Linked DNA regions of Tribolium castaneum. The protein of the gene in region 1 purifies or fractionates together with the protein of each later gene. This does not show direct contact. Links are inferred from orthologs where the notes say so. Each region holds a gene or a part of one and is shown on either strand. Other genes may lie near its edges.

Evidence for each region.
Region 2: the proteins of Pgm1 (region 1) and glyoxylate reductase/hydroxypyruvate reductase fractionate together in Homo sapiens (co-fractionation; 3 studies listed by BioGRID). This does not show direct contact. The link is inferred for Tribolium castaneum from reciprocal best matches to the Homo sapiens genes PGM1 and GRHPR.

The regions. Positions count from the first base shown.
Region 1 is NC_087401.1:12,928,599-12,933,154, reverse strand, and holds the start of Pgm1 (phosphoglucomutase), read right to left. Parts: upstream 3,000-4,556; 5' UTR 2,846-2,999; intron 2,838-2,845; exon of another isoform or gene 2,791-2,837; 5' UTR 2,781-2,790; coding exon 2,538-2,780; intron 2,487-2,537; coding exon 2,048-2,486; intron 1-2,047. UniProt on the Homo sapiens protein: Catalyzes the reversible isomerization of alpha-D-glucose 1-phosphate to alpha-D-glucose 6-phosphate. The mechanism proceeds via the intermediate compound alpha-D-glucose 1,6-bisphosphate.
Region 2 is NC_087399.1:691,386-694,873, reverse strand, and holds glyoxylate reductase/hydroxypyruvate reductase, read right to left. Parts: upstream 2,081-3,488; 5' UTR 1,995-2,080; coding exon 1,777-1,994; intron 1,725-1,776; coding exon 827-1,724; 3' UTR 797-826; downstream 1-796. Other genes in the region: Nmdmc (bifunctional methylenetetrahydrofolate dehydrogenase/cyclohydrolase, mitochondrial), read right to left, coding at 2,959-3,488. UniProt on the Homo sapiens protein: Enzyme with hydroxy-pyruvate reductase, glyoxylate reductase and D-glycerate dehydrogenase enzymatic activities. Reduces hydroxypyruvate to D-glycerate, glyoxylate to glycolate, oxidizes D-glycerate to hydroxypyruvate.

The DNA.
Region 1 (4,556 bases):
GGTAATTATTTAAATAAGTACTGGTTTTTTATTGCCAATTGCATAAAAGCCACAACAGGATTGTTGTGTGCATTGTGTAACGATTTCTTCTTGGCACGCAGTTAAAAATAACGACCCAATTATAAGAACGAGGAATATATTTTCTGATAATTGTTCATTATAACACCGAATGACATGTTTTAGGGCCGGTTTACAGAAAGCACAATTAAGATTTAATTCAGAATTAAACTAATGTCATATTGGGATCATTAGTATAATTTTGTTTTAGATAGTATTATCTCTTATTCTGTTTTTTTGTCGTCGTTTTGTAATTTTGCAAGTATTAAATAAATTGTAATTTATTTATTGTGTTTTTAATACAACCCAACAAAAAAATTCCTAGTCCTACTACGTGTTTTTATATTTATTTGGGAAAAATAAGAAAGAAAAAGTAAAAATTGAAGTACAGACTGATACAGAAATAAACTTAAAAGACTTGATGACTGGCTTAATAAAGCACTTTTGTAAGTTTATTAAATGTTTTGACTTAATTTTTCTATGAGAAGTATAAAAAATATAGTTGGCAGCAAAAACTTTGAAGTATCGAGACTTCCTATTATAAAAAATAATTAAAAAAAAAAGAAACTCAAGATTTAAATGCAAATGGTAAGTTAATAGTATGTTTTAAAAATAAGTATGCAAAAAATACACATTTTACATTAACAAAAGTAATTACATATTACATATAGTAAAAATATTATTTATAATTTTTTTATATATTTTTATTTTATTTTTTATTATTTCCTTATGTCATTGTAGTACATTCTTAAACATTGTTTAGTGACAAAAATACGTAAAAAAATTATCGCAAGAAATTGTGAAAAGGTTCGAGATAAAAGTTCCATTTTATTAATTTTATTCGTAATTATCTTTGTTACTACTAAAGATACTTAAATAATTAACAATTATTTTATTAAAATAATTAAAAACGTGAACCTTAAATTCCAACAAAAATAAATTCCATATTTTCGAACAGAAGGAGTACAAGGTGTTTCACATAATTTTCCGCCTGTAAAATGCAACCAAGAATACATATTCCCATACAAACTCGACCAAAAATTTTGAAAAATTAAGTAGTTTTCTCTAGTTTGTTCACCCCTTCAAAAAAATACTGCTTTTTTGGTAGTTAGTAATAAAATAGATTAGAATCAAATTTATTTTATCTTTTAATAGAACACATAACAATTTTTGGTAAAAATTAATGAGACTGTGATTAAGTTGATAACCACTGTCACGGGTTTCCAAAAATTAAATAATTAAATGTAATTTTTTGTATCTAGTGTTTTGTGACTTTTACATAGGCGGAGGCTTTGTGAAGTTATGTTAAACACCCTGTATATTTTTTGTATTTGATAATCAAGGCTAATATGATTTTTAGATTTTTTGGTAAAATACCACAATTTTTATTAATTTTTTTCACTTTTATTATTTGCTTCCTCAAAATTTTTGGGCAAAAAGAATGAGATAATGTACAAAATATACGTTGGCAATAACTATACAAGGTTCATAATCTATCGCACAAAAATGTAGTTCAACTTTGATAACGAAACACGTCATTGATTTTTAATCTTAAAAACCGAACTAATTTTTTAATAAACTTTATTATTTATTTTAAATGTAGTTTTCTTATTACTAGCAACACATTTAGACGCCTAGTTCAAACGAAAAATCGTGTCATTAATTTATGTATTTTTAACTTTGTGGTTATCATTAATTTATTTCCATAAAAAAACACATTTAACTGTGACAACAACAACGCAGTTAAATTAAGTAAGGCACTAAAAACATAAAACAGTCCAAAAAGACACGACTTTATCACATGTATGCGATAATTTTTTGAACTTTATTACGGAAAGCATTCAATTAAACCGGAATTATCCGGTTCAAGGATACAATCAGCAAACACGAACCCATCCTGTTATTTTAATCGATAATCAAGTGAATAATAATTAATTGTGCACCAATTTCCGTATTATTAATCAAGTGTATAATTGGTTGCCTAACTCACCCCCATTCATTGAATCAATCAAAACCTGGAACGGCGGCCTTTTCCCATTCCCCCGAATCAAATCTTTCAATTTCCCAAAATCGAAAATCTCCTTCATTAACGCCACATAATCATCGGACGAATCCACAACTTCCACCACAAACTCCCTCCCATCAACGGTAAACTTCTGCACCCCCTTTTTATCAAATTCGCAATCCAAGTCGGGGGTGAACTTATACTCCGTGATTTTCTTCGTCAATTCGTACACAGCGTTCGTGAACGAATCCGGGGCAGGGCCCCCATTTTCTATATTAAATTTAATACCAAAATCGTGCCTAATTCCGCCCGGATTATGTGAGGCAGTTAAGACAATCCCGCCCAAGACTTTATGCGTGCGAATGAGCGTCGAAACCGCCGGGGTTGACAAAATCCCCCGTTCCCCAATTATCAGTCTAGCCACCTGTCCAAAAAAATTGAATAAAAAAATCACTAAACTAGTGAACAAAGCAACCTGATTAGCTGCCGCAATCCGAATGATAATATTGATCGCCTGTTTGGAGAAATACCGGCCGTCGCCGCCCACCACCAACGTCGCCCCCTTGAGCTTGGGCCCCAAAGCGTCCAAAATGCACTGCACGAAATTCTCCGTGTAGTTTTTCTCCATGAAAACTTTGACTTTCTTCCGGAGGCCGCTCGTGCCCGGCTTCTGGCCCTCGAAGGGGGCTGTGGCCACCACGGTCGAAGAGAGGCTCATTTTCGGTCGGCTGGAAATGTGAGGTTAGGGACGCTAATCAACGACCGACGTACACAAACGCACACCTTTTGAAACACAACTCTCGTAATCGGCTTTTAACGTCCTAATCGCTCTCTAATCTTTGCGTTTTCTTGAAATTTGAACGCTCAATGTCAATGCGGTCAAGTGAGCTGCGCGTGCGCGGCCACAGTGCAATGGCGCGGGGTTTGAACGGTGGCCTTGTCACTTGACTTTGACCGGTTTTTTAAGGTTTGGTGAAAAATCTGTACAAGGTCGTGTTGTTTAATAAATTGCATGTTTTGACGTGTGTTTTTTATTTTGTGAGGTTTAGTAACCTGGGGTTATGTAAACAAATGGGCAGGTCAGGGCTGACAACCCTTTGGTTGTTTATAGTTATTGTGACAATTTAAATTTTTTCATGAATTCTAATGAAACGTGACAAATTGTAGCTTTGTTCTCCGCAACAACAGTTAAATTACATTTATTATTATAATGCAAATTGCTGTTTCATGACTTGGATAAAAAGGTAAAAATTGTTTTGATTTATTTGTTTTTGGTATCCAGTGGCGTAACGTAGTTTTGCAACTTAATAGCTACGAATTTATTAATTGCCATTGTGATAAAAGCGACAAATTATAACTTTTGTACATCGTTTAACTTCCTGATAAGATAACAAACAAATTGTAACATTCCAGACACTAGACTAAAGCTAACAAAGATAACAATGTAATTGATCAAAACTTGTACAAGATAATTTTTATTACGAAATTTTTAATAACTTATATAAAAAAATGTTCCTTTTCGTAATAGTTTAATGTGAGACGTTTGTTTGATTTTTTTTTTCAATTTAAATAAAATGAGAACTGTTCCGGATATGAGACAAGTGTGAATATTTATCAGACTTCCGAATGAAATATCTGAATAAATGCAAGGACGTACAGTTTGCTTACTTTATGTAAAACCAACTGTTCGTTGATAAAATAATATACAGAGTGATTTAAATAAAAAACACAAATCGAAAATTTAATCCGTCAAAGAGTCAACAAAAAAATTTATAACTCGAAAACTAAAAGTCGTAGAGCAATGCGGTTTGTTCCATTGGATTCAGCGGCTCATTTTCTGTATTATACCAACTTTCAACGAGATCTGACATTTTAAGATTTTTTGCTAAGAATTAAGATAGACAATTTCTATAATGAAAAATTTTATTTAACAAAAAAATTCATAACTCAAAAACTAAAAGTCCTAGAGCAATGCGGTTTGTTCCATTGAATTCAGCGGGTCATTTTCTGTATTATACCAACTTTTAACGAGATCTGACATTTTTTAATTTTTTGCTAAAAATTAAGATAGGCAATTTCCATAGAGAAAAATTTTATTCAACAAAAAAATTCATAACTTAAAAACTAAAAGTCGTAGAGCAATGCGGTTTGTTCGATTGAATTCAGCGGCTCATTTTCTGTATTATACCAACTTTCAACGAGATCTGACATTTTAATTTTTTTTGCTAAAAATTAAGATAGGCAATTTCTATAGAGGAAAATTTTATTCAACAAAAAAATTCATAACTCAAAAACTAAAAGTCGTAGAGCAATGCGGTTTGTTCCATTGGATTCAGCGGCTCATTTTCTGTATTATACCAACTTTCAACGAAATACGACATTTTAAAATTTTTTGCTAAAAATTAAAATAGGCAATTTCTATAGTGAAAAATTTTATTCAACAAAAAAGTTCATAACTTAAAAATTAAAAGTCTTAGAGCAATGCGGTTTGTTC
Region 2 (3,488 bases), on another chromosome or scaffold:
AAACTGGACATTACAAAAACACAAAAATAGGTAGGTCTTTTATGGCTCCTTGAAGAGTTAGCAAAATGACTATCGAAAATTACAATTTCAATCACACCGTCGTTTAGATTACATCAAAATGCATCTTTTCTCACATATGACAAAATTGCATCCAACGCTTAGTTTCCGAGATATTTAAAGAATTAACTTCAAATTAAAATTTTCGCGCCTGCGTTTATTTTTATTTTTTTGAGCTCGTTTTTCAGTAGCAATGTAATTTTTTAAGTTTGTCGATTTTTTTTTGAAAAAAATAGATAATTTAAAGAGCTTTCCAACGATAATACACTTCATGGGGTTATCTCTAATAGTTCCGGAGCTATTGCTCGAGAAATGTTCCGGGTACCCGAAATCGACCAAAACCGCGACAAAATTGGAGAAATCAAAGTCTTAAAAGTTGAACCTATTGACTTTTTTCTACTTCTAACAACTTCAGAGGGTTGTACACGCAAATATTTTTTTCTGATACGCAAAATAACGCACTTTTTTTATCGTTTTTGATAAATATACTAATTTTCTGTTTGATAACATTTGGCCATGGAAAAACTATTACACTTAAAAGGTGTAACTAATCTAAAAGTTTAAAAAATAAACGATATGTAAGTTATTTTCAGTTGAGCAAATATACGATCATCGCATATCAAAAAGTCCAAAAATAGAGAAATTCTAGAATCACCCAGCAATACTTTTAAATTTACCATCATTTAGAACGGTTTATTAACATGAATTGGTGTAAAATTAGAAACAAAAACACGGCGAAATCATTAGAAATTCTTTATTTTTTCCCCTTTTACAGAATCAGCTCGGCAGGCATTTTGCCACCTCTTAAAGCCTCTAAAATATTATTAGCTGTAAGAACAGCCATCTGATTCCTTGTCTCAATACACGCACTGCCAATGTGCGGCAAGATGACACAATTTTTCAGCCCAAAAAGCGGATCATCGAGGGGCAAGGGCTCAGGAGTCATCACATCCAACCCAGCGCCCCAAATCTCCCCACTCTGAAGCGCCCTAACCAAGGCATCCTGATCCACAACAGCCCCTCGACTCGTATTAACAAAAACGGCGCTTTTTTTCATTTTTTTAAACGCCCCCTCGTTGAACATCCCCTTCGTTTCGGGGGTCAACGCACAACAAACGACCACAAAATCGCTTTGTGTGAGCAACTCATCTAGAGTGACTTTCCGGGCCCCGATTTCCTCGGCCTCTTTTTTAGCCGATCGGCTGTGGTAAAGAATCTGACGCGTGTTGAAGGGCTTTAGCCGCTTGGCCACCTCTTGGCCAATTCGGCCGAAGCCCACAATGCCCACAGTGGCGCCCCCGAGGCCTGGGCCGCACATCCAGAAGGGGGCCCAGGCCTTCCAGCCCCCAGTCCGCGCCTCGGCGTTGGCCTCAAGGAGGCGCCGACTGGTGGCTAGGAGCAAAGCCACGGTGAGTTCGGCCGTAGCGTCGGTGAGAATATCGGGGGTGTACCCGATTTTGATTTGGCGCTTTTTTATTTCGGGGATTTCCAGGTGGTCGTAACCCACCGACATGGTCGAGATTACTTTGAGTTTGTCGGCTTTTTCAAGCACCTCTTTGTCGATCTTGTCGGTGAGCATGCAGAAAAGGGCGTCCTTTCCGGGGATGTTTTTTAGGAGTTCGGAGCGCGGGACTGGATCCGGTCCTGGCCATGATGTTATATCACAGCTGTCATAATTGTTTTTTAGGTTAGGTTTTTTTCATTTTTTTGGGTACTCACGTCGCTGATAGTAATTTGAGGGCTTCTTCGTTGATTTTGCGTGTTATGTAGACCGAAGGTCGGGTCATTTTTGGGCAATTTGTGTGAATTTTGGTTTTTTGCACTAGCAATGTCCGACTGGACTTTGGAAGAAATCGTTGGGGAGTGAAAGTAATTGTTGCAGAAAGTCGGGTCAAAGAAAAGCCAAATTGGACAGTCATTTTTGTGGTAAAAAGCATTTAATTGTGAAGTTAATTTTTTAATTATTGGCTGGTTGGCATTTTGCAATGTCGCCGGCTTGGAAAAGTAAAATTCACCAAAGTCCAGCTGCAGTGTCGCCAACTGTGTCACTTGCATATTTTCAAACGAGCTTAGTAAAAAAAAATTTGCACTAAACACTAACAACACAAATATCACCAATAATCCTTAAATTCGACGATTTTTGGAATAATTTTAACGGAAAATGCTTCAAAAAATATTCTAAGCACAGTTCAGGCATTTTAATAATTTTCTTATTTCTAAAAAAGTTCTATATGGGGTTTAGACAGATATTACTTTGTTTACATCAAGTGATTTTTATTTATGATTCCAAAATAATTTAAAAAAAATATCTAATTAAATAAAGACACAAAAAGTGCTTCCATTTTGCAGAAATTCTGATCCTTGAAAAGATGGAATTTGACGATTTTACCAGTTAATTTTTTTATTTTTTTTTGTTATTAGAATTATTTATATATTTATTTATTTTTATTTATATTATTTATATATATTTTATATAAATAAATATATTTATATATTTATTTATATTTATTATTTGGATTTATTATTTGGATCAATGGTGTTTGTTATGTTTATAAGTGTAACGACATTTAAAAAGTGGACAGAAAACGTGATTTTGTTAATTTAATTCACAAATAAAATTATATGAATTTGCGTATATAATAATTAATAACAGTAAATATGAATAATGACGACAAAAAGAATGTTCTGCTATCATGGGATTTGGAATTAAAGGCGGAATTTTTTTCCACATGTTACACTTCACATCGAAGGAAAAAGCCCCACTTTATAGTTTATAAAAAGGTAATAGGCCGATAACGGCGAAACTGGGATAAAAAGGTTGGTAACCAAAACAAAGCATCAGATTTAAATTTTTATTAAAAAATAAATAATTTGACAATACTGTCCAAACAAATATAATACTTATGAACTTTTCGCAAGATCCATGGCAGCTTTAAAGGTGTTGTGCATGAGCATGGCGACAGTCATGGGGCCAACGCCCCCCGGGACCGGTGTAATATGCCCCGCAATTTTGCTCACCCCTTCAAAATCAACATCTCCAACAATTTTACTCTTGCCTTCCGGGGTCGTAATCCTCGTAATGCCCACATCAATAACACAAGCCCCTGGCTTAATCATACTCGGTTTAATGAGCCCCACAACCCCCGTAGCACTTATAATAATATCGGCCCTTTTTGCGAAAAACTCCAATTCTTCTGGAGGCGTATTCCTGTGGCAGAGCACCACGGTGGCCTCCCCTCCCGAGAGTTCATTCCGCGCGTCCGAATGCAACAGCATCGCCATAGGCAGCCCCACGTTCTTCGAGCGCCCGCAAATAAGCACATTTTTTCCGAAGGTCTTGATATTCGAGCGCTTGATCAGCTCGATGACTCCCAAGGCCGTGGCTGGGACGAAGGTGTCCATGTTGAGGGTGAGCTTCCCCACGTTGAGGA